2 linked regions of the Styela clava genome follow. The protein of the gene in region 1 binds, or shares a complex with, the protein of each later gene. Links are inferred from orthologs where the notes say so. Each region holds a gene or a part of one and is shown in the gene's direction. Other genes may lie near its edges.

Region 1 (17,164 bases):
TAATCTGAAAGTAACAATTTTAACATTTATTTTGGGGCTCCGTGAATAATAGTCCACAATTTCAAGGGCTCCGCGACACCAAAAGTTTGAGAACCCCTGGCCTATAGGTCTAAATTGATCACCTGATTCTATTGCGCACTCAAATGAGTCTTTAACGTTATTGCGATCGTGAAATAGATATGCATGATATAAAAATGTAAACTGGTATAAAACTATTTCCTCGCAATTTGTTAACAATTTATATCACAGTTTTACACTAAAACGTTTTTGTTTAAGGCATAAAGTTCTTTGTGAATTACAAGATCGAAGTAATAATGGCTATCAAGTAATCAGTTTCCAAGTACAGAACTGCAATTGGTAAGTTATTTTTTCTAATGGGTTAGTTGATTGATAAAAAGTTATGAAATGTTCTTGCAGTGTAGCCGTATTACGTAAACGGGAAATTTTATCAGGATTGCAAGTGTTTCGTATTTTCTACAAATTAACGCGTTGGCATTTATTACTATCTAATTTCCAAATCTTTTCGACGATCACTGGTTTTCTTTACGACCAGCAAGTCAGTTTTACCAGTCGAAATAAGTTTACACTGCAATATAATAACGTGTACTAAAACGCTTATTCATCTTAAAGGGATATTTCGAATATAACCTGATCGAAAGAGCGAAAAAATATTGACAGCTGAATGAGCACTTTTTCGCGGACAGAACTACAAATGGTGAGATCCTGTATTTCTGCTTCATGTGGAATTAATACAACTGATCCCTTTTAAGAAATACATTTAGTACAGAAAATATGGTACTTTGTTCCAAGTCGATAGTTTGTATTTATTTCACATGAATTCGTGCTGCCGTAATTTCCACTGAAAACAACAGATATATTATGTTATACAAGGTTCTATACCGTGGCTCTTCTCACTAAGTAATTGATTCCCGATATTTTACGGAATTATAGCTAGCCAGGACAATGGATATTTTGTTTGGAGGACGGGGTGTGCGGAGAATTCGAAACCTAATCAAAATCGTACTACACCAATGCTACTAAAAGTAGGTTCCTATGATCTTACAGTGTAAATTCAAATCGTACTACACCAATGCTACTAAAAGTAGGTTCCTATGATCTTACAGTGTAAATTCAAATCGTACTACACCAATGCTACTAAAAGTAGGTTCCGATGATCTTACAGTGTAAATTCAATCCTTGCGTTTACGTTTTTTTTCTTTATCAATAATGTCCAATAAGACCGTGACCGTCTCAAATTCAGAACAAGTTGCCTTGAACAAACTCCGTATAACGTAACTAAGCGTAACTAAATCGAAATGACCAGACCCCGTTATTCTGTTCATCGTAAATCCACCTGTACTATTTATCCATTGAACTTGTAAGATATGAGTTTCATTTTATTCTTATTTCAGATACCGATGAAGAAAAAAATGAACGAACCTTGGTGACGGAAGAAGCTGTTGCTCCTTTTTGCGAATACGAGAGTGTTTTGTATCGTAATTAATGAAGAATACGAATTTTGCTAGTTTAACGATGTTTTGCACTTTTTTTAAATTAAATCTAATAGCGCCTATTCGAAGTATGTTTCGACATTCTCCTTCTTAAATGAAAACTCTCACCCAAATTCGTCTATTTATTATGACCCCCCAACATAACATTCGCCCATTATGCGTCACTAGCACCAAACTTTCCGTTTTACATTTTTATCATGAACAGCAAATGTTGAGAATTAAACAAAAAATAATTTAAAAACGAAAGTAAATTTTGAAAGTTGAGCAAAAATTCAGATGAACTTTGACCTCCCCTTCCCCTTGTGTGTCGTTGATATAAGCATTGGTTTGATACTAACATAGTGTCACCACATCTGATTCAGACCTTTCTTTTTCAAATTAATAACATCGCCAGTGTTTATTTGAAATTTTGTCATAAACTAATAAAATGCTGCATTAATCCATGTCAAATGGATGATTATTTCTTTTAATATTATTTTAGTATTTAAATTCCTACATCTGAATAATTGCTTCCTTCTAATTATCTATATTTTAATATTGGAACTTTTCATGATTACTACGTGTTTCGCTGTGGTATCTTAATTTCATCAGTTTTTTTCTTTATTGCTTGATTTCTGAAATCTTGGAAGTTTTATTTATTGGAGCAATAAATTGTTTTCGAAATCTTATAAGGTTATAAAATTCTGTTGATAAGATCAGGGAGACGGAAAAAAAAGTACGCAGAAGGTTACGGAGCCGGGTTCCCTGGAGCGGGTAGGGTGCGAGCGGAGCAGCCGGGGCCAAGGAGCGGGCCATTTTTTTTTTTTTGAAATTTGGTCGTAAATATTTTATGTTCGGCCATATATGGGCCAATGATAAAGGCGTTATTTTATGGTAAAATTATCTTTGGCCACACTTAATCGGTGATAATTTTTGAAATTTTGGTATTTTCAAGGGTTTGTTTGACCTAGGAATTTATCCGATTTCTGCCATTTTCGGTCCACAAGGTCTGTTACTTATGTATGAAGTTTTTCACGACCTGACTGGACAACGGAAAGATTATCAAAAATCGAGATGGACTAAGTCCGTCTTCCAGCTTGATTGTCTTGCCAAGTCGACCACGCCTATTGATAGATAAGTATTAGAGTTAAATTAGATAAAACTCAATACTTATATGGTGTAGTGGTAAAAGGGGCTACAGGTCGTTTTTGAGTCCAAAGTTCGAATCCGACGCTGACTCTTAAAATATCTCTCAAACTCAATCTTCAAATAAGCACACATGATGATATAAAAGTGACGTCAGGAGGGGCTAATTCCGATGAAAATGACAGGAATCAAGAAAAATCCTAGGTCTGACCCTTAAAAATATCAAAATCCGAGAAATTATCATCGATTAAGTGTGGCCATAGATAATTTTCGGGACGAAAATTAATTATCATTGGCCAAGTGTGGCCACAGATAATTTTAACGTCAAAATGCCTTATTATCATTGGGCCATACATAGCCGAACATAATAATTTATCTTTGGCCATAGATAAATTTTTTAGAAATATTTTTTGGCCGCGCTACCCCGTCCCGCCCGCGCACCCAGCGATCAAAAGACCCTACAGGTCTCATTGTCTGTCGCTTGTTAAGCTAGCTAAACTCACTTTCTGCCCACATTTTATGAAGCTTTGAAAAGTTGTGGCTTATAAAAGTTTATTTCTTTGAAGTGCAAGATAAATCAAAAAAAAACAACAAGACGAAGTTCAAGGTCATCAAGATAACACTTTCATCAAATAGCGAGAAAAAATTAATACAGAATATATATAAATCGGCGAGGAATGAAAAAAATTTATATCAATAAATCGAACAAATATAGATGAATTTTAGCGCACACTTCCACAATCATAGTCTCTAAAATGTTTTCAAATACATGCAGTTGTTTATTTTTTCACATACTTTACATCGAGCAGGGGTGATATGTATATAAAACATGAACATTTCGAGCTAAACCGGAGCTTCACGAATACAGACAAAACTCCTTGATATTAATCTCTGGACGATTAGGATAACTATTTGACTGGACACCCTCATCTCAGAATCAATTATCAATAAAAACGTATCAACTAGGTTCTCATAATTGCAACCGAAAACTTTACGTAAAGGGCTGTTATCGAAACCGCTTTAGTCGTAAGAATTGTAAAAAAATTGGAAAAAAAGGACATCTCATTTTGCAGAGTTCTTATAAAGCTATCGGCACGATTAGAATTATTGATAATTTATCTGCTTATATTTATTTTAATACATTTATTCCAATAATATTGGGTTATAATGGTGCAAAACAACTGTTTTCCGTACTGTAATGACTTAAATTGCTTCAGATATATAACGTGTCATAAAATCGAATTTTTTTGAAATTGCAAAGAAAATTTATCATTACCATTTTATTGTTTTGGCCCTCAACAGATGTATTAAACGAGATAAAAATATCTGAACAAATTACTGATTAAAATAACAAACCTGGTTAAGATATATTGAGAACTTACTTTATAAAGAAGTTGTAAATGGACTATTCGGACACCTTTTATCAGACTTAGTTCAAATCGATAAATTTGGAAAGCAAGTCAGTTGGGACAAAAGATGCTATACAAAATCGTATTAAAAATACTGCGAGAGAAAATTTCTACATGACATAAAAATTCGTTAACGGGCATATTTCTCAGTCTTCCATATTAAAATACATTACAATAGGAGAGTTTAACGATTCGCATTACACCAGACCCTAAACATTGTATCTGGAGATCTCGAAGCAACATTCTCTTTGTCACCAAGGTCGTACCGTTCATATCCTGAAAAATGAGGATTAGTTATTAGATATGAATCGATAAATTTGCATGTCATTCTTCATAATTATAGATGAACTGGGCAGGCAAGATCAACTTTGCAGCCAAGGGCAACGTTCGTCGATCTTGTCCGATATTATTTGGCTCAAGTTATTGTGACAAAAAGTCATAAACGGGCAACTTTTTCACACATCTCTATTTGAGTGATGAAATATAGGACATCAATTTATTCGGAATTTATATTCATTTTTACAATAAAAACAATGTTATTGCTTAATTATGCATTTTTTTATTATTGTAGAAACTAGTTTTGTTTTGGGCATAACCCATAACTAAATTTCTACACGAATTAATTTCAAAGTTTTGAATAATAACTAAATTTTTACTTTTAGTAATACTGTTCTGAATGTTGTAGATGTGATCAAGTTATGATCAAAATTCGTCACATTTCTACATTCCGTCTCATCACATCAGAAAAAAAAATAAGGTAAATTAAATTTCCGAAATACTTGGTAATTTGACTTACTGTAGAATATGGCGTACTTAGTAGCTCCAAAATTAAAAATTTGGTGACTGGCGGTAGTGAAGGAAAGCAAGTGGTACCAGAATAGCTTAAATTCTAAACGAGGAAAAATTAATATTGTTGTAACTTATAGAACTCATAGAACTTATAGAATAGAATTTATACAACTTTATTGGGAACTGAGTATCATATTTTGCTATTCAGTGTATAATTGAGGAAAGAGATCGTGGGTATTAAGGAATTGTGAACCAGAAAATAAACAGCAACCATAATAATTAGAGTTTGTCGTCTCACCGCAGTAAAACCTTTAAAATTAATTCTATAACGTCATTCAGCTGAGTGTGACCAAGAACTTAATAAACATCCAACCATAGTCGAAAAATACAACTCACCAATTGCAACAGGTAAATTAAATTACCATAATTTCTTCATTTTTCAATTCATACTGCAATCCCGATGTGCCTGAAATAGGAAAAATCACCAAACAACGTGACTATGGAATTTTTTGACATTTTTAGTAGAGCGCTTCAATTTAAAGCACTGTGCTTCACTGTTATGTGTGTAGGATCTTGATAGATAATTTTAGTTGAATTACGTCGAAAAAGTTTTTAAACCGCCATACCTTCTCTCTCCTGTTCTTGATATCGGGCGGTCGGTCTCTGCCTCAAATGAAGCAAAATCTTCGATCGCCGTCCTTTGTCGGGTGCAATTCAAAATTTACATTTTGCTATGTTCTAACTGTAAAATTAACAACTCTATTCCTAAGTTTAGTCTACGTTAGTACATCTGTAAAAATAAATTGAAAATTTGCGGCAAGGAAATGAAAACCCTAATATACGAAGTTCACAAAGAAACATAAAAACATGGCGTTGAATTTGACAAGACTGCTTGCTTTTTATATGTAAACATGGTTTGCGTTGATACCATCCTACTACCATTTACACAAGTGACCGTATTACCATACGAGGATACACAACAAGCTAGAAGCGAAAGCAGGGGCATTAAGTACATTCGAACCACGTTACATCTAATACTTTTGACAACAAAATTCATATACCAACTATTGTATATCATTCGCTGACTACTGCAGACTCGTGCATTATCGTATATAAGATAACAGTTACCTTACCAATTCTTAATCGCATCCCTTCGCTTCTGAGTTCGACAATTTCAGAACTTGGTAATTCAATACCACTTCGCAGACATTTGAATCAACAATTTTATGTCTAGTCTTAGGCTTAACTGCAATAGTATAGTTGTGATGATTTTCAAAATAAAAATAAAACACAAAGAAAACGCTGTAATATAAGATGGGATCGATACACGAATAAAGAATTGGAACGAAAAAATTTCGAAAAGAATGTTTTAACCCAAACAATTTAAAAAACGTCAGAAAAATATTACAGGCAAAATAGCTCTAGAACTCGGCAAGGCCGTATTTCCGTTAAGAAAAAAATCGTCTTTTCTATTCCATTTCCACACCACTAGTTCTGGATGTCACAATTCGAAGCCTGAAAAGTAAAAACGTGTTTGGTATATTCCAACAATTGGTATTCCAAAGGTAGTTTACTTACACATCGGTTCCCGTTATCTTGATTTGGTTGGGCCTTCCGTAAAGTCTTTATTGCGAAATTTCTCACCAACAATCATTGTAGTATACTATGTTATGGCCTAACTGAACGAATAATTCTTAATCTAGCTTGTCGGTCATTGGATCTTCGTTTTGTTTCAGCAATTTCTCCTTCGGATTTCGTGGAAAATTAAACCAATAATTATAGGCATAGGTTAACTGCATTAGTGTATATCACTGTGAAAGAACGCCAATAATAGTCCGTTAGCGAAATAATGATACGTGGCAAGAATATTGAACAAACGTGGACAAGCAGACCTGACACCTGACGACGTCAAATCCGAAAAGACCTCGGCGCGCTCAAACATTACGTGCCAAGAAAAACATTAAATTGAATATAATAAAGAAACAAAAATTGCTGAAGAGACCACAAAAATTGAACATGAAACAACACCCTCAATTTTATGAATAAAATTCCTGAAAATTATTAGAGACGATTTCAACTCGAACGGGTTTCGAATACGAGACGAGATCAACGTTCAGGTTACTTTGGCATGCGTTTTTCGTTTTCTGGTCTACTCGCAATAGGTTATGTTGCACATTCAAGGTGACTATATTGTCATTATGCGCATTTAAGGTTACTGTATTGTCGTCAACTTATGAAATTTAAAAATTCTTGGACAGAGACGTAGTTCCATTGGTTTTCGGTTTTAGTACTATTTTGATTTAGAATGCTTGAATAAAAACTAGAATCCTTATTCTCATTTCAGCACTTAGTGGCGAATTACAGTATATGATTCTTTGTCTCTACAACTATTAACATGACGAATATAAGAATTTGTCTTCAAATTTGGAGAATCAAAAATGGAGATTTAGTATGACATGCACATTTGTGCAATTGTTTCGTCATAATGAATTATCATTGTTACCGCATGACTATTGTGACGTCATAAAGGCAAAAGAACCTTGGCGAAGTATTTTCGAGTTTTTGCATCTCGGATTCTAGCTTAGCGCGTATTAATTTGAATTTATACTACAGTATAGGAAGGCGTGCACTTGTGATATACACTGTCCGAGACCGATTCACCTTGGTTGGCTTTAATATTGGGTGCATTGCTGTTTTATTCTTTATATTTCATCTTAGTCTTATTTCGGTGGGTGTGCGGAACATGTTATATTGATGAAATATATATTTTTAAACATAAAAAATAATGTAATTGAAACTGATTAGCTATTTAGGGGATTAGACATTGTAGATACTGAGAATTACATTCGTTTTTGGAATGTTCAGTTTTCAGGACTGGTGCATATAAGTAAAGTTGCAAAATTGCGTGTGTCCCCAAGTCACAGTGCGCCATTACGACGTCACTTAACTGCGTCATACAAATTAACCTAAATTCGGCTACGATAAAAAAAATTGAACCATGGAAAATTATTGACTCTCAAAATGGCATAACAGTATCATTAGGAAGTTTTTAACGTTTTTCTCAAAACCGCTAAAAATGACTCACGCAATTCGGTTATTAGCGTGACGATATGTAAAACAAAAACTGAATTAACTGACTGCTTGAGCTAGATTCATATAATCGCGTAAATATTATTTTTGAAATACCATGCTCTTCCCCCCTTCTGAATCAACAACATGGGCATTCTATTCTATTTATTATTTAATCAGGGCTGCATAAGCCGTGGTCAGCGGGTCGTATGCGTATTTCATAGATTATACAAACAAAACAAGCAATAATAATGACATAGATCTTATCTCACGAAACTAACCAAGCGCGGCATATCATGAAGATTCGATTGCTGCTAGTGAAAACAAAAGTATCTTAAACAAAACGTAAACAAATAATGAAAACAACAAAGATGCTCACCCGGCAGCGACAATTTTGAAAAGACCTTGGCGATCGGTCATATCGTACACGTGTCAAGAAAAAAGCTCGGTTATAATAAAGAAAGAAATGGAGAGCAGAGGACTGTAAAGCATTGAGCGGCGATTGGTTCGCGAGATATTGCATCGCGCATCAACATTCGAGAAACATAGGAGCTGTGAGACGATGCTACCTTGTCGTCAAAATAGGTAGACATAAATATACATATATATATACTCAATTCAACACAAGTCAAACCAGTAACTGGGTATGTCGGGAGTGTTGTTCCACAGGACAATAATGCAATAATACTCTTTTGCTTTTATTATCATAAAATTTTATAATTTCCTATGATGGATAGCTCTTCCGTTTTTCTATTGCATATAATTTAATTATTTAATTTAAACAGGACCGTCCGCTAATCATGCATTGAAACAAAATTGACATTTGTTGCAACCCTAATAAAAGAAAACCCTAATATTTTCCACATGATATGACGCCGAGCAAATTCAATCAAAGAAACAGAGCTGTTTTATAATATTAAATATTACGCGTATCAGATTGGCCATAATTTGCAATGTTATCAAATTTTTTAGGAAATATAACTAAGATATATAATATTCTTCATCTCACAAATATTCTATTAACATGACTCGCTCATCTAGGACTATGGCCATTGTTCCAGATATTTGTCCAGTTGATCCATATGCCTTGCCTACAGCCCAGTAGACGTAGTAAATTTGGATGTGAGTTTTGATTAAAATTTATTGCAAAGTACGGCAAAAAAAAATAATTTATTTAATTATTAAACGAAAATAGAATGATACATTACAAATATGACAAAGCCACCGGAGTCGACTCCGATATGTCGGTTATTAACAAGGGGAATTCCCATTTTATAAGTATGGAATTCTAATAAAAGCGCCGGCACGCTTGTATTCCGTATTCCATGTGATATAAATATTAAAACAAGAGAGTTTCATATTCTGTTTCTTTAAAAATGGAGCACAATACAACAGAGGTAATTGAAAATGCAGTTTTAACAACGCCAACAGTAGAGGAAAACCGTAAAAAAGCGGAATCCAACTTCGAAAATTCAGAAACTGCAAACATCGAAATTGCAGATATGGAACAAGAATATGAGGACATTGGAAATAATATTGAAACACAAGAATCAGTACCAACAAGTCAAACGCCATCACTTAATCCTGAAACAGAAAAAATGACCACAGGACCCAATGTTATGGACACATCTTTAGTAGTTGAGAAAGAGGAGAAAAATAACACAGAAATCGATCTTTCTACTGCTAAAAATGAGTTACTACAATCGTTTGATACACTGGAGACCACCAATATTTCTGTAGTACCATCCACAATTGGTGAAAAAGTAGTTGCACAGTCGCTTGAAACAACACTTCTTGCATCTTTCGAACTGGGAAAGGGAAATTTTTTTAAAGGATGCAAATGGGCACCAGATGGATTATGTTTAATGACTAATAGTGATGATAATATAATACGACTTTACAACACTCCAATGGAAATTTTATCTAAAAATTGGGATAAATCACCTTTCAAGATCGAAGTTTGTTTAAAGCTGAAGGAGGCCGAAACTATATACGATTACACTTGGTGGCCTCGAATGAACTCTATATATCCTGAGACGTGTTGCTTAGCAACAACTGCAAAAGATCAACCAATTCATCTCTGGGATGCTTTTAATGGTGATTTACGAGCGAGCTATATTGCAAAAAATAGCGTTGATGAAATTACCGCTGCACATTCAATTGCTTTTAGCCCTGATGGTTTACAAATGATATGCGGATTTACAAAGTTAGTACCGCAATTTTACATAATTTGTATACAATCCCAAAAATTTTTCTTCAAGAGATTTTTTGTGTGCGATATATCTATAGCCTACTTCACTATCAAGCCTACATATTGTTTACTTTGATTTGGCTCCGCGGTGTGGCGCATCGTGCTTAGCATTAGGAATATGCTCGCCACTGCACTTCTGATTACCTCACGTGGGTTCGCAGGTTCATGAGCGAGAGGATTGCTGGATCGCCGTCATAGGGTGGTTCACATAACCGCTGGTAGGTTACGGCTTCCCCTTGACATCAAGTCCATGCTTCCCAAACCCACGAGAGACCGTGGTTGGACATATGATTTAGCCGTCTAATCACTTTCCTCTCCCCCGGGATAAATATGTAAATCCTATTCTTTAATACGTAATTTCAAACGAGTGTCTGCTCACTAAAACTTCCAACTTTCACAACATTATTTAGCTAGTATTGATCTACATTTACATTTATTCTACTATTCCCTATTATACATTCCTATGAACAAACAGAGCATCTGATTTTTATATTCCAGAGAACTCCGGTTATTCTACATTGATCGTCCAGGAGACCAATGTGAAAAATATCCGACAAGAAAACACAAGCGAGCATCAGGACAACGAGGAATTATATCAACATCAGAATTTCATCCAGATGGTTCCTCCATTGCTTGCGGTTCTTACGACGGCACCGTTGCGCTATACAGCTCTAAAAATGGAGAACTAATAAGCATATTTAATGCAAAAAACAAAGGCATAACACAAGTGAAATTTTCACCAGATGGAAATCGGCTGTATACTGGTTCACGTAAGGACAATGCAATCGTTTGTTGGGATGTCAGATTTCTTAACGGAGATTTATTTCATTTGGAGCGAACTGTCGATACAAACCAAAGGGTATATTTTGATTTGGTATCGGGAGTTTTAAGCGAAGAAATATTGTCAGAAAATACAGTGATATCTGGTGGTACAGACGGCTTTATATCATTCTGGGATGCTAAATCTGCGCTGGAATTTGATCTTTCACACACCACCATAAAACAACCCTTTTACAAATTCAAATCGGATAGAGATTGTACTAATGGGGTTCATGTTCACCCATATTTGCCCGTTCTTGCTACAAGCTCGGGACAGAGACACTACGGTGAATTTTCAGATAGTGAAAGCGAGGATGAATCTATTGAAATTGAAGAGAATATGTTAAAACTTTGGCATGTTGCTGGATTGTGCGATAAATAAATTTGATAAACTTCATTTCACAGTAAATATGAAATTTATTTAAAAACTTATGATGCATGATGTGTGGTAAAGGTGGTAGAAACACAGAACTAACCCTGAGTTAATGAAAAGTCCCTCCGATCCCATATGCTGGATGGGACCATTACAGCTGCAATGCGATACGAGATGAAAGGGGTATTACACTACCAGTTATTTCCATTATATAATTAATATAGACTTGGGATGAAAGAAGAGAGTATACAGGGATATATATATATGTACCTGTCTTTTTTTTAGATTCAAAATTCACAACATTTGTCGACGGAAGGAGTTTTAATTAGTTGTCCAACCCTGGCTAAAAGTGTACCCTAATTGAGGACTCCTGTTTTTGTTCATAGAATACGATTTAAAAACGATAATAATTTTGCAAAATTGGTAAAAAAATCAACTATATAATGCTTTTCCATAGATTCAGATGAAACGATGTAACATGAATAAAAATATAAGTGTATGATATCATATGAATATTCAACACGAGTCAACACCATCCTATCATAAGTTGTCAAAAGAACTCAAATTATCTATAAAAAACTATTATTAAATACTTGGAGATTTGCATCACTAGATAAAACAAAAATCAGTTTACTTGATCTTAATTGAACTAAATTAATTTGTCTATGTCAAAAAAAAAATTCAATAATTTTTAGTTACCATATACCCTGAGAAAATTTTAAATCAATGTCAGTAATAAATCTACCACTAACTAATGAGTGCGCCATTGTTGTACTAATACTGTGTACTATACAGATTTAACCATTTTTGCAATTGCGCAATTAAAAGTAATAATAAAATAATCAATAAAAATCACAGAATTCACCAAAAATACAAATAAAAAACCATGCTTGATGAAACTAAAAAATTTGATTTATTTAAATAGAAAATAAGTTGAGCACAGAAAAGCTAAATGAATGATACAAAACCTGTATTCATAATTAGATAATATACAAATTTAATACAAAATAATATACTGGGTATTAAGATAAATCAAAGTTGTTTTTTAGTTAGAGTTATATTAGATGATTTATGTCAGTATATTGGACGTAAGGATATATGTGATTTCAAAAAAGACGGAAATAACATATACAGACAGCGTTCACCCGAAAATAAGACCTAACCTAAATTTTAAATATGATTTTAATATAATCCCTCCACTTAAAATAAGACTTAGTCCATTTTTTTTTGACCGACTCGATAGCAAATATCTCCGCGTTTTAAATGAAAACATGTTATTTATAAGTAAGTGGATATTGGTTTCCATATTTTGTATATTTGTAAATCTTGTAATTATTTACTTTATAATTTTGATAAATGACATCTTCCAAAATAGCACCAGTGCACTGTTATTTTTCGAAAGAAAATTGAAATAAGGTCCTGTCTTATTTTCGGGGAAACCTGGTAGTTACACTAGACACCAAGCATTTTTATGTTTGTGGGTATGTTGTGTAATGTACTATATTTAAAAACTCAAATGGAAGCGTTCAGGTAATAAAAAAGTTCAAAAAATTTCATTAATTTATAAAAACGATGGGTATAAAAATTAGTAAAACATATCATTTTTATTGTCATATCAAGGCATATTGAAGAAATATTAAACAAAAGTTTAATTATGATATCTATAGAATTGCCAACACATCCACAACTTATTATGTTGCAAATAAAATCATAGTTATATTCATAAATTTCGAAAAAAAAAAAATTTCGAATATACCCGCGAGAAAATAGGGTGCATAATACTGGAACTAAAAAAATGTTCGAAAATCAAGATTTACACTTGTACTAAAATTTGTTCAAAATCACGAATTACGCAACAACAATTAACCAGTAATTTCAACATTATCAAATTCATTGAAAGAAACCTTTTCAGAAAAAATAGAACATATAAATTGATTTAGTCAGATTTTTTCAGTAACCCGATTTCTTCCGATAAGACTTTAGTAACATGCATTGCTTGTTCGGCTTCGTCTCCACCAATTTGATTAATAGCGATTTGTGCAGCTTCTCTTACCGATGATATTGTGTCATTTCGCCTGTAAGATATTTGATATTTTTCTCAAAATAGAACATAGAATTTAATAATTTCCCAATGGATTCCAGGAAAAAAAACTTGATGTTATTGCTGGTAACTCATGATATTCACAGATTATATATCTGTATGTAAGTTAGGGTTCTGTTCAAACAATTTATAAATGGACCTCTGGACTGTGTAGCTAAATTCTTGTGGTTATTGTCGACAAAAATCATGTTTCTCTGCTACTAAAGGATCAATTGATTTTAAAATTTCACTATCTAAAAATTTATTTTTTCAAATTTTCTTTGAGTGCCAAGAGCTCTAATATTTCATCGAGACTTTGCGTGATATATAAAAAGGGATCAGTTATTATTCCACCACGATAGACTGCCTAATGCTATAGGAACTTTACTGAATGTCATATGAAGATGTTCCTGTGAATTATAAAAACCATAATAAGAACAACAATTTAGTAGTTTTTTTTTTGTATCTAGTAAAATTGTTCTTACCATAACTGGACAAGTTTTGAAATTGACTTTTTACTTTTCAATCTTCCCAATGCAAGACATCCACTCTCTCGTACTAATCTATCTTTGTGATCCAAACATAACAGAAGCCTGAAACATATAATGTTACATATATTTGACAGTTTGCATAATGACAAGTAGGAACTATTTACCAGTTTTTGACCAAAAAATTTCTAATATTTAACTAGTTCAACAGTAACACAACATATTAATGAAATTGCTAAATGAAATTCAGACAAATTTTTGATTTGCCTCAATATTCGACCTCGCGCCTCTTCAGATGCACAATGTGATTGACTTACCCAATTTCAGCTCTCTTTTTAAACATTTTGATTCCACTAGCAGCATGAGCAAGAGATATAGCTGCAACTACAGTGATATCAGGATCTTCTTCACCTTCCAGTAAATCCAACAATGAGTCAATCACTGCTTTGGATTGGTACTTTCCTGAAATAAAAAAATGATTTTTAATTATTAATAAAAAGCTGAGTTGGACAGATTGTTACGCAACTGGAACATTGCAGATAAATTTTACAACTATACAATATGAATATATACAGTGATACCTCGGTAGTCGAACGACTTGATACTCGGACAATTCGGTAGTTGACCAAAAAATTATTACTCAAAAGATGTTATGTTCGATTACAGAGGTATCGCTTTAATTATAAAAAACAATATATTTTACAAAAAAATTTAACATCGTTTTGATTATAGTATTCTCCCATCTCCCATCTATTGATTAATTATAAAATAAAGTAAATTTATAATTCAAAATTCACAAGCCTTATAAAAATTAGCAAAATCCAACTCAATTAAATCCTAAAAATTTCTTTTGCATACAGCTTTAATTTAAATTTTTTTAAACATAATTTCTTCAGACATCCTCATGGTTGAGTTTTCGAATGTATTTGAAGGGAAGATGAAAACTGGTCAGACCAACCAGATCTGGTTATCGGGACCAGTATGGGATGGAAACCAATTTTGTACCAACTATAGAGCAATTTATTCTTGAACATGATATATTTTGTGACGAGCCCATACTCACTCAGATTTGCGATTGCAGACAATCTAACACTAGAGTTGACATTGAAGACTTCTTTCATTGCATATGTTTCCGCTGCATATAGTCGAATCGCTTGTGACAGAGGAAGAGTTTCTCTGTCTCTCGTGCAAAATCCTACAAAAATATGGTGTATTAAAGCAACAGTACACCAACAATCCACATAATGATAACAAGATGGGATAGAACAGTGAAGTTGATGGACCTAATAGAAAAGCTGTAACGAAATTTCCGATTCCAGAATGAGGAATTATACAAGAAATATCAGAATTAAAATCTGCACATTTGCGAGTCTGTCTATTCTAGTTGAAATAACCAGTTATCTAACTTTTAAATTCTTTGAAATTAAGAACGTTTTTCTTGACTGCCATTTCTTTGCTCATAAGATGAAGTAACAATTGTTTCTGTTGTTCAGTCACCAACATCTGTTTCCATACTTCTGCATATGTGGTGTCGACCGCTTGCGAAAATCTAGACAAAAACAAATTGATTAGTGGCGAACCTAGAATATTTGAGTATATTTAAACAATATACATATATTATAGATATATACTCTTGTTTTCCGCAGAGCTTCCATTGAAAACCGCTGGTCTTTAGCACATATTTTCCTGCATAGGATAAACCTCCAAGGAATTAAAAAAAGGTCAGCTTTTATAAAAATTCTTTTTTGGCAGCGGTATTTTAATAGTCTAACAACAAAAATAATTTTATATTACAAACTTAAATTTTTGTATGGATAAATTTTCAGTTTGATTAGCGAGTTTAATTTAGAGAAATTTCATGATTATTCACTTCTTCGGAATATATGAGTACTTACGAAACATTCTTCTATTAGCATAGGAAGTGTTTATGCCAAATAAAAACTACTTCCCGAACATAATACAATATTAAATCTTAGCAAATGCATAACTTATCTTTGGATCATACTTGATTTAGTATAATATACCATCATATTCTTTTAAAAATTATGGGCTTGTCAACAATCTATTGTGTGATTATAACGGATAGATTGTATGACTGTTACCAAAACAAACAAAAAATTTTCTATAACGGAATTCTACTTTGGAAATATAGAACAAAATTTCAACGCATCGATTTATTAAATGACAAATAATAGTATTGTTATTGAATTCATGGCATTGCAAAATCTATGTTTAGTGAATATATACAAAAAAATAAAAATGTCACGAATTGGATACAAGAAAACTCATTTTTTTCATTGTGAAAAGCTGATAGATCAGGATTAAATAATTAATTTATATTCAAATGTTTCCAATTGTCATGCTATGGTCTCATGACTAAGTGTAAAAATAGCAAGTTTTACTGGAAAAACTGATTTAAAACAAATAACATTAATTTACTTTCATTTTACTTGAAATCCCCAATTGTTACATCCAATTGTCCCACCTGATGGTAACCAAAAAAATTTCCTGTGCAGATTAGACATCCATAAGTTAATTACACAGAAGACTGATTGCGATTATATATTGCAATACATAACCACCAAGCTTCCCGTATTTACAATTCTTTCAGGCACTCCAGAAGTATGTGTTCGTGTACCGATATGGAGGTTACTAATTTTGTTCGTCTACTTTACATTAAGTTGTGTAAATGAACGGAAACCTATGGGCAGGGGGTTTATTTGGCTAACACAGACAGTCCTCGAGCTCGTAATAGAACTAAAATAGGGAAAATCAGAATAAAATTATGGCCTAACCCTAACCTGGTACACATACTATGAGAGTACCATTTTCATACCAGGGGATTTTCCATGTAATGACATCACAGCGTCAATTACAGAAATAGAATAAGCCGGTCTCATGTGTAATGCATGATCACGTGAATACCAACCAGTGTTAACTCTAAGCAAATTATGAGTGCGAAAGTGCTTCGCAGTCGAAAAAAAAAGTGCGAAAGTGCTTTTGCCGATTTTAACAAGTTAGGTGCCCTAGCCTTTCATATAACCCATTTAAAACGGCATAGATACTCGAAAAAGCGCTCCTCCGGGTAATATTATGAATTAATGAGAAGCCTTTTCCGAGAATTCATGTTTAATTAATGAAAAAAAAGCGAATTTATCGGCAACGAAATGACATCTGCTAATACCTGCCCCGACAAAACTTTCATGCAGTGTAAACAGCAAAGACTTCACATTTGTTACTCCTTCCATCT
Region 2 (16,242 bases), on another chromosome or scaffold:
CTGTTGGGCAAGAAGTTTATGCTCAGAGTGACTCGGATGATTCTGCTGATTGGTGGTACAGTGCAGGTGATTACGATTACAATTGATGAGTTGAAATTTGTGATATCTGCCTTTTCAGGAATGTTCAGAATGATAACAGTACATTCGGAATTCAGATATTCCTGATGTTAGTAATTACTTCCTTTGGAAATTTGTCATCTTCGGCATTGGACATTCGAACAAAAAATGAACACAATTTTATTTGCCACACTGTGAAATAATATCAATAAAAACAATCTTTATCTTGAGCGTACTGCATTGCCAACATAATTTTTACAACAGTTATGTAAAATTGTCTGTTCAATATGACCCAATTTATTCCATATTCAACAATCTTCTCGTGTACTTGGAATAGTAAATTGTACAGTTACTTGTACATTTATCATATCAATATTTATATTTCAGGCACAATAGTGAGTTACTGGAGAGATGATGATGATAAACGAGGATATGTCATAACTAAACCTGCAGCCGGAAATAATAAGACTAAAAGGTTGGTATTACAGTTATCGAAGAGTTCAATAACTGGATAAGTCCATGCTCCGAAAACAAATAACTGGCTAACTAATCCCATACTCGACATGGACTGGTAACCGGACAAGAGGTCGTGGTTCGCCATATTATGATTAAGTTAACTTTTCTGTGAATCCTATCTTAAATATGTAAATCTCATCCTATCCTACCTATTATTCGTGAGATAAAACTTTTATATAATTTTCGCGCAATTATAAAGAATTGGCATAATAGGATGTTCACGAAGTCCTGTATTAAATTAGGTAAAAAGACATTTACTTCATGTACATGTAACTAGTTGTGGTCCTAAAAAGTGTATTAAAGGAAGTAAAAGAGCTCAAGTAAATGAGCATTGATTGAAATAAAAAAAAAAACTGGTTAAGATATATTGAGAACAGACTGCATGACAGAATTTGGAAATTTTTGAAACTTTATGAACACCTGCTGCACTGCCATTTTTAGACTGTGACTCTTTATATTAATTTATCTGTAGAAAAGAGATTTTTTGTCAATTTTATTTTCCATCATTGCTTTTATTTCCAATTTGCAGGTACACAAGGAAACAAGTTATTGTAAAACTTGAAAACTTGTCAAACGATTTGAAGTTATTGAAGCTGCAGCCTGCATCTGGTCTTACTACAGCAGATGTTAGTTTGGGTATGATGCCATTATTGATTTGGTAATAAGATGGGATTTTCATATTTATTCTGAGGGAGAGGAAAGTCAATAAGATGGTATTATAATGTGGCAAACCATGTCCTCTCATGTATCCATAATAGTTAGCCAGCTGTTTGTTTCCGATGAGTGGACTTAATGGTGAATGGAGTCTTACTCGACCTATGGTTTGGTTATGTAAACCACCCTATGATGGCGAAAAGTCCAGCAAACCTCTCGCACATAATTATTCTTGCCGGGTTCCTTGAACCTAAGAAGGTTAATCAGAGGTATAATGGCAAGCTTATTCCTAACGATTGACACAATGCACCAACCGCCTTTTAAACAGTATTCAAAAATTATTTGAATGACAGGCAGGATAATTAATGCAAAATAGAATATGGGTAAGAGATTAGATTTCGAGTCTTTTCCTTTCGACTCCTATCAGCATGATAAATATAAATGAATTAAAAATGCAGCTATTGACACGCAGTGGTTAAAACATTAGATAGAATCAAGTATGATGGCATAGCAGAAGTGAAAAGAGGATAATTATGTTGGATATTAATTAAAAAAGCTTAGCCAACTTCTTCCGTATCTAAAAGAGCGGTTTCCAACCGCTGGTCTGCGGACCGATGCCGGTCCGAGAAGCTTCTTTGCCGGTCCATGATAAGTTTTGTTGTTTTTCTGCTGTCTCAATCGTTTTACCAAAGTTGCGTTGTTTTATTAGGCAATTTCTCTTCTACCGTCATATTGCTGTTTGATAAGTGTGGTATTATTAATGGCCCTATGACGTCTTGGCGCAGAGTAATTTCACAGCATGATTTTGAGCCTGGCACCTAGTTACAGACTACTTGGTTAATATATTTTTTCGTTTCAGCCATTTCAAAATTTTTGCTGGTTTGAGAGAACATTTTATTTGATTTTTCTGGTCTGCCAGGGTAGAAAGGTTGGGGAGCACTAATCTAAGCTAAGATCTGTTAAAAATTTTGCCCACTTTACAGTGTGTATTCTTTTAGTTCTAAAAATCACTGAATTTAATTTTTTCAAACAGATAACATCATGGATGGTAAGAGACGTACACGTCGGTCAAGAGCAGCTGATTCTGCTGTGAGCAGCCCTGCCGCATCCAGACCAGGGACGCCATCTTCCACGACTTCTAAAACTCCTCGATCCTCAAGAAAACGTCGAGCAGATTCAGAATCTTCTGAGTCATCTTCCTGTGTACCTTTCCCAACAACTAAGAAATCAAAACGAGGGAAACTTAGTTACGGGAGTCCAAGAACTCCAGCAAAACGAAAATCTTCGAATACACCATCTAAAGGTGAGGTCAAATGTGAAAATATTTTCAGATGAATCAACCATTTTGTAATACTGTGAATTATGCGATATCATAAAACAATAACGAGAAACTGCGGTTTCGATTCATTTGCTCTTACTCCATAGTGACACCGTGTGTCCCATCACTAATTAATCAATAACTCGCTAATTATACGACATAATTCATCCAAAATCAATAGGCTTCTGGTCCGACATATGATGAATGCACATGCATAATTTGGAGCAGATTCAACCTCGATTTTGAGAGATATCGCGTGTATCTAACAGACAGACAGACAAACAAACAAACAGACAAATACCTATCAACATACTTACCGATCAAGATCGATAAGTAATGAGTAGGGATGGGCAATGTAGAATAATTTACTATTCTAGAATACTTAAATCAAATCTAAAATACCGAATCGTATTCTGTTTTTATAGTTATTTGAATAGCGGGAATTCCCCACCACATTGCTGGATTGGAAATTAAAGCAAAATTGTAAACGCATTACTTTCTTCGGTATCAATTGAAAATGTCCTAAACATTGGGAATTCAATACTTTGGGATTCGGATCCTCCGGATTTGGTATTCTAAATTGCCCATCTCTAATAATGACTGACATATTTCATTATTTTTTTAGGTGAACTAGGCGTCATGCCGCACAAAAAAACAATTATTTGGATTATCTATATTTAGAAGGACTGTAATCTTTTCTGTTTGGCCCTGCCTACCCTAGTTATAACACCCTGAGTGAGGTGTTGCCTATGTTACAAAAGTACTTTCTTCATAACTTTGCTCTATTCAGATATTTTCAACTTGAATCATAAATAAGTGAATGCCTATAGTTGAATAAATGGTAAATTACCATGAAATGTTGGTTTATTTGCTGTTTGGAAAAAGGATTTACAGAAGTTTTAAATTTTATAAATCTGACTGATTTGTATATATTTGGCTGCAATGTGCGCTAATTATTTTTTTTCCGGTACTTACAGTTGAGTTTTGAATCACTTCGAAAAAATAGATTAAATAAATAAATGTTGTTTTCTTAGCATCCATGACATACAAAGAAAGCAAACTATTTGAGAAATGTGGATTTTTACTGACTTCAACAACAGGAAAAGATCATCCATCATCCGAGTTTGATTCACCTCCTTGCACCAATATTTATGGATATGACAGGTAATATATTATAAACCAGGGCGGGCAATTTTTTTTTGCGAAGGGCGGGGTTCATCAGAAAATATTCTTGGCAAAGGGCTGCATTGAGAAATTGATTGTAATGTCACAGTTATTAATTCTATTCGCTATGATATTGTCGAATACAGTTGTGGCTTGCATTGTTGAACATTAATATTACTTAACAAATCATAGTTTAGATAATTTAAATGAAGTTAAAAAATAAATCCAAGTTTTGTATGTAGTTTTGAAAATGTTCACAACCCTTTTCCAAGAGCAGGGGGGGGGGGGTGCATAAATTCGTTGACGGGCAGTAGTTTGCACATTCTTGTAATAAACCATGATTAAGGTAGTTTACCAAAACTTTACATTCAAAAATTGTTTCCTTTTGGAACTGATGAACTAGTGAAGATCAGTTTGCATGATTTTGATAAAATTGAACCAGCAACACTTGGTAATTATTTTTGAAGATATTGCAATTTAGAGCAGGGTTTCTCAAATTGGGCCCTCGGCCCCCCTAGTGAGACACGGACAAGCCCTTCACTAGCTATCGTTCTCCATGACTAAATTAATTAAAAAAATTGGCTTCTTATTGTTAAATATGCTATAAATATCACTATTGAAAACTCTTTGGAACTCTTTGAAAGAAGGCCACAGGTATTGGAAGTTATTAATTTTCCTCACTTACATTGTACATAGCATGGCAATATTTTTCTGTTTTCCCTGAAGTTACAGGATCGTAACTCTCACGGTTCTTCACTAACCGAAGCATTTTTGCTTGCCCATTGTCACTATCTGTCGTGATCATCTGCGCAGCCAAAAGTCTAATTGACCGCTTTGGAGCTTTTTTGTTGCTGTGTGCTCAATTAGACTATACTGACACTCATGAGTTTCATATCAGTTTACATGCTCTGTACAGGGGGCTAAGTGGATACAAGACCATATATTGAGAGATGATAGTTGATTTTATATTTGTTTGGATGTGAACAACTTTTATTTCAATCTTTTACGCAGGGAAGTGTTGAAGAAACAAATCAATGCTGGGGATGGTGTTGTTGTCAAGGATTTCACGCAGTTGGTAAACTGATTTATATGCTCTGTCTCTGTGTAATTATGTCGACAAAACTTAGGCCTGATAATTAATACTTGTCTAGTCAACTTGACTGCCTGCATTTATTGGTAACAGGAAGTTGGGGTTGGATTAGAATTCCAAAATAGCTTTTGATTTTTGTTGAATCTATAGTTATTAAACAATATACTTGAGTTTTTAAATATCTTTTTCTCACCCGGTTGTCAGGTATGTGCTAAATAAAAAGAAGAATAGTTGGCGCTTAGAAGTGTGTGTACCAATATGGAGGTAACTAATTTTGGTCGCCTACTTTACATCAAGTTGTGTAAAGGGACTGAAACCTATGGGCAGGGGGTATATTCACTTGGCTAACACAAACAGTCCCCAAACTCATAATATAACTAAAATAAGAAAAATCGGATAAGCATTTTGCCCTAACGTGGCAGCTGGTACACATACTACGGGAGTACCAAATAGTTATCGAATTGAGCATATTCTGAATATCTTGAAAAAACTCTTGTGTTGTCATTTGTGATATATTATTTTGTTCACAGATGTCATGTGATCGAAGTGAGCTTTACGTCGTATCAGATAATTTTTGTCGAACAATGAATTATTTCAACGCACTAGCTGCGGGAATCCAATGCATATCTTATATCTGGATCAATGATTCAACAAATGCTGGGAGATTAAAAGCAATAAAATCCTATGTTTTGCCCGCTGGATACAGTTTGCAACATATGGGGATTGTGGAAAGGTAATGGATAAATTTAGGAGTTGTAAACAATGTTTTAGTTAAAGTTCAACCTCAATTTCATTAACGTTCTTCCTCACCATCGAATCAAACTGTAATTTAAAATAGAATATTGATATTTGAAGATTTGGTATTCTTGATTCAATGTAAGTAATCTAGAATAGTAAATTAAGCTGAGGGCGCCTCCCAATGTTTAAACTTTTGGAGCATTGTTTTAAGTCAACAATTGTCTTTTCGGTGATGAATTCCAATTAGGATTACCGGTAACCATAATTAGATTAACTGTTATCAGATGGTTAACGGTTGCAAGTTCTGTCATTCCAAGTATTATTCCCTTTTCTAATGTGTATTCGCATGATAAGAATTGCACATATTTTTCTATCGTTTTTGAAAGTGTTTCACTGAAGTGTATCCCAGCCCAAATTCCAATATTTATATTTAAATCATAACTTTTCTAGACCAATATCTCCAATCCAACCACTGTCTGGTATTCGTGTCAGTTTACATATGAGAGATCTAGCAACATGGAATCCTTTACTGTGCATTGCTGGTTGTATATCAGTTTCAACAAGGAAGGATAAATTGAAAACTGGTATGATAAAAGCATTAAAATTAAATATTGTTCAAATCGAGTCAAAAAGTTTGATTGATTTCAATGCTCTGGCAATTTAGGTTCCAATGGCAATAGCTCATCAGTCCTATTAGAACTTACGATTTTTTTTATTTATCCCGGGGAGAGTTAATCTTATCAAATGACAAACCACAATCTTTTGTTGGGTTGCTTGGGAATTTTAAAAAACCAACGCAGCAGCAAATAAAAAAAAATCGGAAAGAAGTGACTTGAAAGCATCTAGCGCCAAACCTCAATAGTCCAACCCTAAAAAATTGCCCAGTTAACCAGTTATTTGTTTCAGATGCTCGGGCCCTTATCTATAACCAGTCAGTAAATTACTGCAAGACATGTCTTTACAGGGAGGCAGAAGGTTCAATGCATTTTTGCTGTCATTGTCACTGTGTTATCTTTATTTCTCAGCTAAACTTAATGGCCCAGCATTCTCGCACCCCCATTGCACAGTTTTCGCACCTCTGGTAAATGAACCCAGTAACATAATCGAATCATTCTTTCTCCCTATTTGTTATTCACAACGCTTCTGCTCTTTTTAGTCACTGATAACACCAAATTAAGTGTTTTATAAAATCTCTCATGTTTTTTACAGATTGTTCTCTATCGTGTGACGTTGTGGTTGCTGATTCATCATGTGATCAAAGTATCATGGAAAGAGCGGAGAAACTCAAGATTCCTGTCGTGTCAATAGAATGGGTCATCCAGTGTCTTATAAACAATAAAAAATTACCTTTTATTGGTCATTCTCAATATTCTAGGTTTACTTGATCAACTTTTAATAATTTTCATTTTCTACGAGTTTGGTAAAAATACGTAAAACCTGTAACTATCCAATTAATTCATTAATTAATTCAATTCAATAATAGGAATTAATGAATGATAGTAAAGGTGTTTAAGGCTTTATCAATGTTGCGAAGCTAATCCTATTTAACTCTATTTCGAGTTGAAATTATCTGACTTACCTGACATAGTCAAGTTGCAAAAATACGACTCAAAAGACTTCATTTCGAACTGCATTTTAGGGTTTAGAAATGTTGCAAATCGATACAAGTTGATCTGAAATATATATGTTTTCTTCTGGTCCTCAGAAATAGATTTATTTAACAGTTTTGTTCAATCATTATTAGGTAAATTATTCATACAGTTTTTGTGTAAAATCATCAAAGCCATTGTTCTTGTTCTGCCAAATCGTGCAATATTTTATTCACTGCTGGTTCTGTACTCAACCATTTCAAATTTGTTAAATTCTTGCTTATTTTAATGACGGTCAATGTTATAAATGAAATAGTTTGATTTGAAGTTGAAATGCATTTAAATATAACAATGGAGTTGTTCTGGAAATGTTTTTAATACAAAAATATGATTTTAAATCAATGCAAATGTGGTGCATTGGAATGTCTTACTGGTGCTTGTGCAGTGAATCTCATATCTCTGTTTCAAAAATATAATTATCACATTGTTTGATATGGGTCTAACAGATCGTTGCCATCATTTAATTTTTGTTTTGTTTCGTAATTGCTGTAATAAACAACCCGCTGTCTTTTTTATATTGAAAAAATAAACCAAATGCCAAATTTTTGAATGAAAATTTGATAACGTATTGCTTAATTTCCCATGGTCACACAAAAACGTTATCTGTAAGAAATATGGGATATCTCTATAATGACGCAGAGAGAGTAAGATTGTTTATCTGTTGGAACTTAGAGCTAGATGAAATATCCCATTTGTGTACAGAATATCGGAATGTCATTTTACTGATTGGTGAGACGTGACTGGTGCCACTCATAAGTAAAACTTTATTTTGACTACATTACAGACGATGAAATAATTGATAAGAACAGAATAAACAGAATCGGGAGAGCAAACAAAACCTTTAGGTTTAAAACGTATGGATTGAAAGGTGTTGTCAAGAGGAGAGGTGCGCGTTCACTAACCCAAAAGCATTAAATTAATTATTAATACGTGCACGCGTATATACAATCACGGTGTCGGAGATACAATAAAGTTGAAAGAGAAAAAACTATATATATATATATTACTTGGTGAAAGGGGAAAAAAATACGAATAAAGAAAGAAATTTGCCACACCACATCAATAATTTTGTAAAGATTGCCAGATTAGATTAGTTAACAGGAGTGAGATGTATAGAAAAATCTTTCTGTGGTCAAGCTGACCGTTGTTGTGGATCAAGGAAGATGTATATATTCTCATTGGTTGGACGCATGAAGAGGTGGGCTATACCGTGTCCGGAAAATTCGCCGCAAGAGCATTTTGCTGTTAAACAAGTATTTGGGATAAAAACGGTCAGGTTTATAGGGTTAGGGCATGCCCTTAGCAATTTTTTTTAAATGAAAAAGTACTTCAAAAACCTAACTTTTTATCACAAATACTTGTTTTACAGCAAAACGCTCTTGCGGCGAGATTTCCTACGGCGAATTTTTCTAGAACTGTGCCAGTCATGGACACGCTGTCTCCAAGCTAGTTCTCTATTTTCACTTGTCTCTCACGACAAAATGGGACTTCAAAGTCGAGTGACCGTCATTCGTCCAAAAATTTTTTATTGTCCTTGATACCGAGATTATAATCGCCCAAACGCACAGGTTTCAACCCCTGTTCCGTGGGCTGCGCATGCCAAGTGTTTTCACGAAATCTAAATCCCAGAGTGAGTAAAAATAGTATCGTTCCATCATTAATGGTTGAGCGGAGAGTTGAGATGAGAATACAGCAATAGTGATTAAAAGCGTACGAAAATATTGAGTTGTAGTGGCAATTGAAAAAAGGATTATAACTTTATGAAAATATTAACGTGAAGAGAGGGCCTTCTCCAAACACGCCAACCAGAAAACAAAACAAAACGTATTTACATATAAAAAGTTAGAGTCGAATAAATGAACATTTTGGTTTGCCGTTACTCGGCTATGATTGGATCTTCAAATTTCCCGTTTGATTCTATCGTATTTTTAACAGCATAGCCCTATAATATTTATCATTTTATGCTTTTTGGTTTCAACTAAATAAGTTGATTTACCCAACTGGTAGCGCAGGCCCGATACCGGCAACCGGGCCGGACTCAAAAATTTGCAACAGCGTCTACTAGTGACAGAGACATAAAACACGTGTGTGCTGTGGGGAAATTCCCTTTGACTTGTTGAAAATTTGCTCTGCTGATTATTGTCTGTTCATTCAAGCTACCGAAATCAATCTTTCAGCATTATCGTTTTACCGTGAATAGAAAGATGTTTCTGCAATATTATTTGGACGATAATGGTAAACGAGTTTACACCATGAAAAAGGTCGCTCCTGATGGTTCGCCAACCCAGTCTGCTCATCCGGCAAGGTTTTCTCCAGATGACAAGTTTTCGAAACAAAGAATCGCCTGCAAGAGACGTTTCGGACTATTATTAACCCAACAACCAAAGCCTGCGATGTGAAAGAACATTTTTAAAACGGAATATGTAGGATAGTAAAAGCTCAACTAACAATTTCACTACTTTTATCGGGACAACCAAAAAGCTTTATGTGTGCATGTTACAGTGTTGAGAAATCAGAATGAACTTTACTTGTCAATGTGTCTTGCTGACTTACCATCACAGAAACGGAAATTATAATCTTTTAATATTCAAAGTTTCACTCAAACACTGAAAAAGGATGTTTCACTATAACCATGTGGTGTGTTTTATTGATAGATCAAATATCCCTTCTTTATCACAATGCTTTTAAACCCCAGTAATGCCATTTTTTCGGCTTCCCAATTTGTGTTTAATTTAGTAGATTTTAATTGTTGCTTTATTTGTGTGATTATATATTCAGATATTGCAGCATTTTTATTCACCTTTCATTAAATATTTGCTTACAACATATGCTGGGTTAATGCTGGATATTTTTCATTCAGAAAAGATTTCTAGACAAGCCACTTGTGTATGGAAACTACGAGATCAATTCTTTGAGTTTAACTGAATATCTTTTGTACTTTATTGATTTGTAAAGTGGTGAATAATGGCTGACCATCTTTCTTTCGGAATTATTTTTATTTGTGACTTATAGGCCTACTCGCACCAATGAGCATGCTGTTTGTGTAGAGTGGTGTAATGTGCTAACTACTTGAAATTTCAATCATATAATCTTCTGAATGCATTTTTCCATAGACACATTCAAATCTATTTAATATTGCGAATCAATTTCCTATCCTGTATTTTGATTTTTGTGTCTGACATTGAAAATGGACTCAAAGTTGTCTGGAAAACTGCTTCTCAAAACAAAGTAAGTTTTTTTCCTCTTATTTAAAAAATGATTTAAAACATGCAAAATTGTACTTTATTATCAACTAATGGTCCATAATTTAGGTGTTTAAAGATTGTTCTCTTTCTAGTTTTGCTTGCCCACCCAATCTATTGCACCTTGGGTTAGGTGGTGGGCATGGTATATGAACCCGAAATGTGTAACCCGCGATGTCATTATTCATTTCCTACTTTCTAATAACTAAATTGTTCTGTTATTTTTTAGCTTTGCAGTGAAGCATAAATGGGAGCCATTTTACACTGGAGGATCAGTAGTTTGTCATAATGATGGTAAAACATTGTTATGTTCATGTGGAGATTCTGTCAAAGTCATTAATATTGAAACTGGAGAAGTAAAACACAGTTTGTCTCAGGTTGGGGTGATTTTTGTTCAATTTAAATATGAATAAAAATGAAAGACTATCATTGTTTCAGCAATATAATGTTGGAGAGGTCGAACTGAAAAAACTCGACAGGTTTCTGAATGATGATTAATCCTATATCATTGTGAACAAGCAAATTCATAATCACTATCATACCCAGATCTGTGGAGTTTGAGTTCATCTTATTTATTTTTCTTGATATTGAACATGAGTTGACATTCTAATTTTTTTGAGTCCAAGTCCCATTTTAGACCCTTATTAATGATGATAATTGAGATACAAATTTTTAGGAAAACTCAAATTGCATTGAGTTAACTAAGCAGTCTCAATGGGCACTTTAAGAAGGAACGTGTACGGCATTGTGTCTTTTAACAAAATTAAGTTCGAAGCTGGAGAGTTGAAATTTCTTCTAATATGTGGCTAAAGTTGGATTCAAATGATTTGTCATTTCGGGAGTCATTTTTCAATATCTCGTCGTTTGGAGTCGGGGCTGGGTGTGAATTTTTAGCTAATCCAAACTCCGAGAATATCAAATTTTATATGGAAGCCTTTGTATACACAAGCTGTCTTTTATAGGCCCCATTTGATAACACTGTTTTAGTTACTTTGAAAACTTCTTCTTTTATCGCCATTGAAAGTTTGAAAATTCTGATCCGCGACTAATGGGTTATCCATATTGGACTCTGCCCCCCTAAATCCGACTCCACTGACTGCTATAGACTTGGTTTTAATCTGCTTTTCTATTTTTCAAATTTTTATGTTTTTTACCAGGAGGGAGATGATGTCACTTGTATTTTATCTAGTCCAGATAATAACATCATTGTTTCTGCCACAAGATCTTTGTTACTGAAAGAATGGAAAATTGAGAATGAGGTGGCAAAATGTGTGAGAACATGGAAAGCAATTCATACTTCACCAATTCTGTGCATGGATTTTGATGCGACATCTACACTCCTTGCCACAGGTATGAGCACAGAAGTAATTGTAGTCAAATAAAAAGATTTGATAATACAGCTCATAAAAAACTCCCAAAATTGTTACTTATCGATCTTTAGATCGGTAAGCATGTTGATACCTATTTGTCTGTTTTTCTGTCTGTCTGTTTGTCTGTTAGACGCACACGATATCTCACGAATGCGTGGTTGAATCTGCTCCAAATTTTGCATTAGCATTCATCATATCTCGGACCAGAAGCCTATTGATTTTGGATGAATTATGTCATAAAATTAGCGAGTTATTAATTAATTAGTGATGGGACACACGGTGTCACTATAGAGTCATGAATCGAAACCGTAGTTTCGATTGATAAGTCTTCGGTCTCCTACCGATATTCTCGTTTACATTTCAAAGGAAATTTAGCAATGCAATATATAGTTTGCTCTCTACTTGAAAGAAGTTTTGCAAAGTAAATTTTACATTGGCAAACTTTATCAAAATCAAATTCATCAGTTTAATGAGAAGTTGAAATATTTTTGAATTCAAAAAAAATGGAGAACGAATTTAAAACTGAAATGCACAAATTGGCAATTTCCTAAATTCAATTGGTCAAAGCGATGGATGAAGCACATTTCAAATGCAATCTGAAATTAGATTTATTTTGTGCAATCCTAATCACAAAATTCGCTTTATACATGAGTGTGAGTTTGGCTTGATTAATAATGGTTTTATGTTTGGATAATATTTTTGTCCACACTATGTACGTTTTCACGCTGCACCTTTATCCACATACTCTGAATCTAAATCTACTGAAATATCTAAATATCAACATGTAATTAGCTATTCTCTTATTCATTATTTAGGAAGCAGTGATAGTACCATTAAAATATGGGATATGTTGCATCAGTATTGCACTCATAATCTGAGAGGATCCCAAGGTGTAATATCAGTTGTGAAATTCCATCCACACGATTTACAATTGTTTTCTGCGTCTAATGATTATGTTATTAGAATATGGAATCTACACACGAGCAGGTATGATCTTTTATTCATTTGGTGATACTTTGTTTGATGAGTCTTGTGCAGGGGTGGGCATGGGCCGCGACGAGATTTTGACCAGCCCGCTGACTGTACATCAGTACATTATGATATTACATTATTACACTTTTAGTACATTATGATAAATTCATTATGAGTTTTTTGGTCTCTATTTTTTTCTAGTTTAATTTTCAATTTAAACACGATTTATAATTTTCTTTCTTGCATTAGTTAATAAATATGTGATTAAGATATTGAATACTATTCATGTTATAATCCGGCCTGCTGGGAACTTCATTTTCTAACATCTGGCCCGTCGACTAGAGAAGTTGGTACGACCACTGGTACAGAAGCTACTGAGACTTTACAGTAGAAGAATTACAGCATCGTATTATACTTTCACATCGTTCGCTATGAATAACGCTCTGAACAAGCTTCCATTGATATAAATGTAATTTTTTTTTTAAAAAGCTGGAAATCTCTCCAGTTCTGCATGATGTGGTGCGCAGAGGGTTATCCCGAGATATTTCATCTGATATGGCAACATTGCCAAAGATTGCACTTATTCTTAATTTTCATGTTTCAGTTTTTATTAACTAGTTCTCTGTTTTCAGATGCATTTGTATGCTGAATGGACATGTTAGTGCAGTTACATCACTTTCATTCATTACAAAAACTGAATCTCAAATATCTTTAATAAGTGGAGGAAGAGACAGTGTGTTGTGTGTCTGGGACTTGTCGCAATGTAAAGACAAAAACACTGTCGAACCAAATAAAACAATCCCTGTATATGAGACTATTGAAGGATTATTAGTTTTGCCAAACCAACATATTACTAAACTTATAAAGACTGCAATTTCCGATGAATCTTCGCATGTTTTAACTGCTGGAAGTAGTGGAAATTTGAGAGTTTGGAATTTATCAACCGGGAAATGTATATACACACAAAAGGTAAATATGTAATTCAAGGTGATACCTCTGGGTTGGATAGTAGTTCTAAGTGTAGCGTTTAATAAGCATATTTATTGTTCAATTAATAATATTTTATCTGTCTTCTACCTCTATCTACCCTTCTCTCCAAGCCAATTGATCTACTAGGCCTATTCTGAATACATTCTAAAACATTGGTTCTCAAACCTTTTTTGTTGAGGCCCTTCCCTTTTTAGAATTGATCGAGTCTCGCGCCACACCTTAAAAATAACTAGCTAACAATAAGCTACAAATACCAGATAGTATTGCGAATGTTTTATTTGAATTTGTCCTTGAAGTTCAGAAATGTTGAGATTCAGTGATTTAGAAGTGCTTTTTTATTTTAACATTGTTCAGAAATTGAATCAAGAGCTTCTGGGTCGAACTCTGAGATATCAATTGATCGAAATGAAATTTTTTCAAATAAAAATAGCCCTTTCCTGAATTATTCGTAAAATCAAGAATTTAAATTTCAAAACTATTCAAATAATCTATCGGCTTCGAAATTTTTCCGAACGATGTGAAGATATAGACAGGCCTTTTACTTTGTGGCCCTGCACAAGCAGTTATAGTAATGTGTATATGCTCAGGTGGCCATGCATTTAAGTATATTATATCTTTGTGCCCTTTCTTGCTCCTAACTTCGCATACTCTGTTTTTAGCGTTTAACTGAAACAGAAGAGACTAAATCAGACTCAGAACATGGAGCCATTGTTGATCTTCTTTATCTTGAAAATATTGAAAAATATGCAACCGTGACTTTCGATCATAATATCAACATTTTTAATTACGATGACGGTTTTGTTGAAGATAGACATGTAAGTCTGTTGAGTAGAGATGTTTTAGACAGGTTCAATATAATAGTTGAGCATTAATTAGAGCCAAACTGAGATGCCTTCTGTTAAAACTATATAGCACTAGCTCTGCAAATATTCTTGATGATATTTTTTAAGTATTTTATAAGAATATCACTCAAACATTTTTTTTTAAGCCATCGATCAAAAGGAAAATTCGTACTAATTTACAAGAAACTACTGATTTTTGCTACTATTCTTCTTTAGCTCGTTGGTTATAACGATGAAGTTTTAGATGTTCGGTTCTTTGGTCCATCAGACAGTCATATTGTCGTTGCAACTAACAGTCCTCTTGTAAAAGTTTTCGATCGAAAAACATCTTCTTGCCAACTACTATCTGGACATCGAGACACTGTTCTATGCCTTGATGTGTTTAAAGATGGTTTGATCCTTGCAAGCGGATCAAAGGTACAAGATTATATGTATAGATGCTCTGAGATGTAGTGAAAAATTTTGAACAGTTTTTGGATTTGACGAACATTCCTCATTTTGTCTGGATATGTCAACTTAATGGAAAATTTATATATACGGTATCTGTCGGAACTAAAATTAAATAAGAGACCCAAAGAACATGGCAGTTATATTAGGAGCCAAAGCTTCTCTCGCATGGGTTTTATGATAACGTTTTGGGTAGACTCCATTTAGGATTAAATTATCAGAATTAAATTCAAATTATGGCCAGATATTTTTTTTCATTATTAGGAGGTGTGTAATACAACTTTGTTAAATAAAACTTAACGGAATATATATCAGTTATGATAAGTTAGTTGCTTGCTACAAAATACGTTTTGCAGATTATCGCGTTTTCAAAATACGAAGTTAGTTTAGTTTCACAGTGTGTATCTTTAACAATGTGTCATTGTACCACTAGGTGCCAGCATTGGTTCATCAACACTTTCACATACATCTTGTCAACATTATGAAATCCAAACAAATGTTATCCCTAATGCTTGTATTTTTCAGTTATCAATGATTTTTTCAGGACAACTCAATCCGTTTGTGGAGGATGAATCCAGAAACTTTTAAAACAACCTGTATTGCAGTAGGAAGAGGACATGCTCATGCTGTCAACACAGTCGCTTGTTCAAGGTAGGAAATAAACTTGCTGTGGTGTTTAAGCCTGACACTAAAGGCAATGGGAAATTCTGTTATTAACAACCAACAAGATAGGCTTTCACCTCATCTACTGGTTGGAGTTGGAGTCTTACAAATTCATTCTGAAACACAGGAGACTTATCTCCAAGCAATAAAACAGCAATTATGAAGATCATGATAATTGTTGGGCAAGTTTCTGTAATAGAATCGAGATAATGTAGGAATGTAACAATATGACTTGTCACATCAAGATGACTTTTTTATAATAACCTGAAAGAACAAGTATTTTGACTTCCAGTTATATCTTGTTTAGGTCTGAATAAGTTAGACCATGATCTTATACAAGCTTACTAATACACATGCTATTTCTTAGAAATAGTTTATGCCACTCTTATAATACTATCTTATCAAGTATCACTGTGACAATGGTCACATACAGATCCAAGTTGGGAAACAGACAACAAGAAAATACTTACAGTTAATACATAATATCCTAGTACCTTGACCACATCGAAAAGTTGAATGCAGGTCTTCAT

Evidence for each region.
Region 2: telomerase Cajal body protein 1-like (region 1) and H/ACA ribonucleoprotein complex subunit 3-like share a complex: the UniProt entries of both Homo sapiens proteins name them as parts of the telomerase holoenzyme complex. The link is inferred for Styela clava from reciprocal best matches to the Homo sapiens genes WRAP53 and NOP10.

What each region holds. Positions count from the first base shown.
Region 1 is NC_135264.1:10,542,716-10,559,879, reverse strand, and holds telomerase Cajal body protein 1-like, read left to right. Parts: upstream 1-9,183; 5' UTR 9,184-9,279; coding exon 9,280-10,109; intron 10,110-10,652; coding exon 10,653-11,355; 3' UTR 11,356-11,405; downstream 11,406-17,164. Other genes in the region: uncharacterized protein LOC120333624, read right to left, coding at 13,283-13,421, 13,912-14,019, 14,232-14,376, 14,978-15,109, 15,321-15,463. UniProt on the Homo sapiens protein: RNA chaperone that plays a key role in telomere maintenance and RNA localization to Cajal bodies. Specifically recognizes and binds the Cajal body box (CAB box) present in both small Cajal body RNAs (scaRNAs) and telomerase RNA template component (TERC).
Region 2 is NC_135263.1:5,480,317-5,496,558, forward strand, and holds H/ACA ribonucleoprotein complex subunit 3-like, read left to right. Parts: upstream 1-9,273; 5' UTR 9,274-9,390; coding exon 9,391-9,585; 3' UTR 9,586-10,300; downstream 10,301-16,242. Other genes in the region: uncharacterized protein LOC120341376, read left to right, coding at 1-66, 445-532, 1,103-1,209, 2,261-2,530, 3,580-3,709, 4,721-4,784, 5,330-5,532, 5,988-6,121 and 1 more; transducin beta-like protein 3, read left to right, coding at 10,374-10,414, 10,658-10,805, 11,586-11,778, 12,614-12,785, 13,403-13,739, 14,420-14,575, 14,819-15,019, 15,594-15,700. UniProt on the Homo sapiens protein: Required for ribosome biogenesis and telomere maintenance. Part of the H/ACA small nucleolar ribonucleoprotein (H/ACA snoRNP) complex, which catalyzes pseudouridylation of rRNA.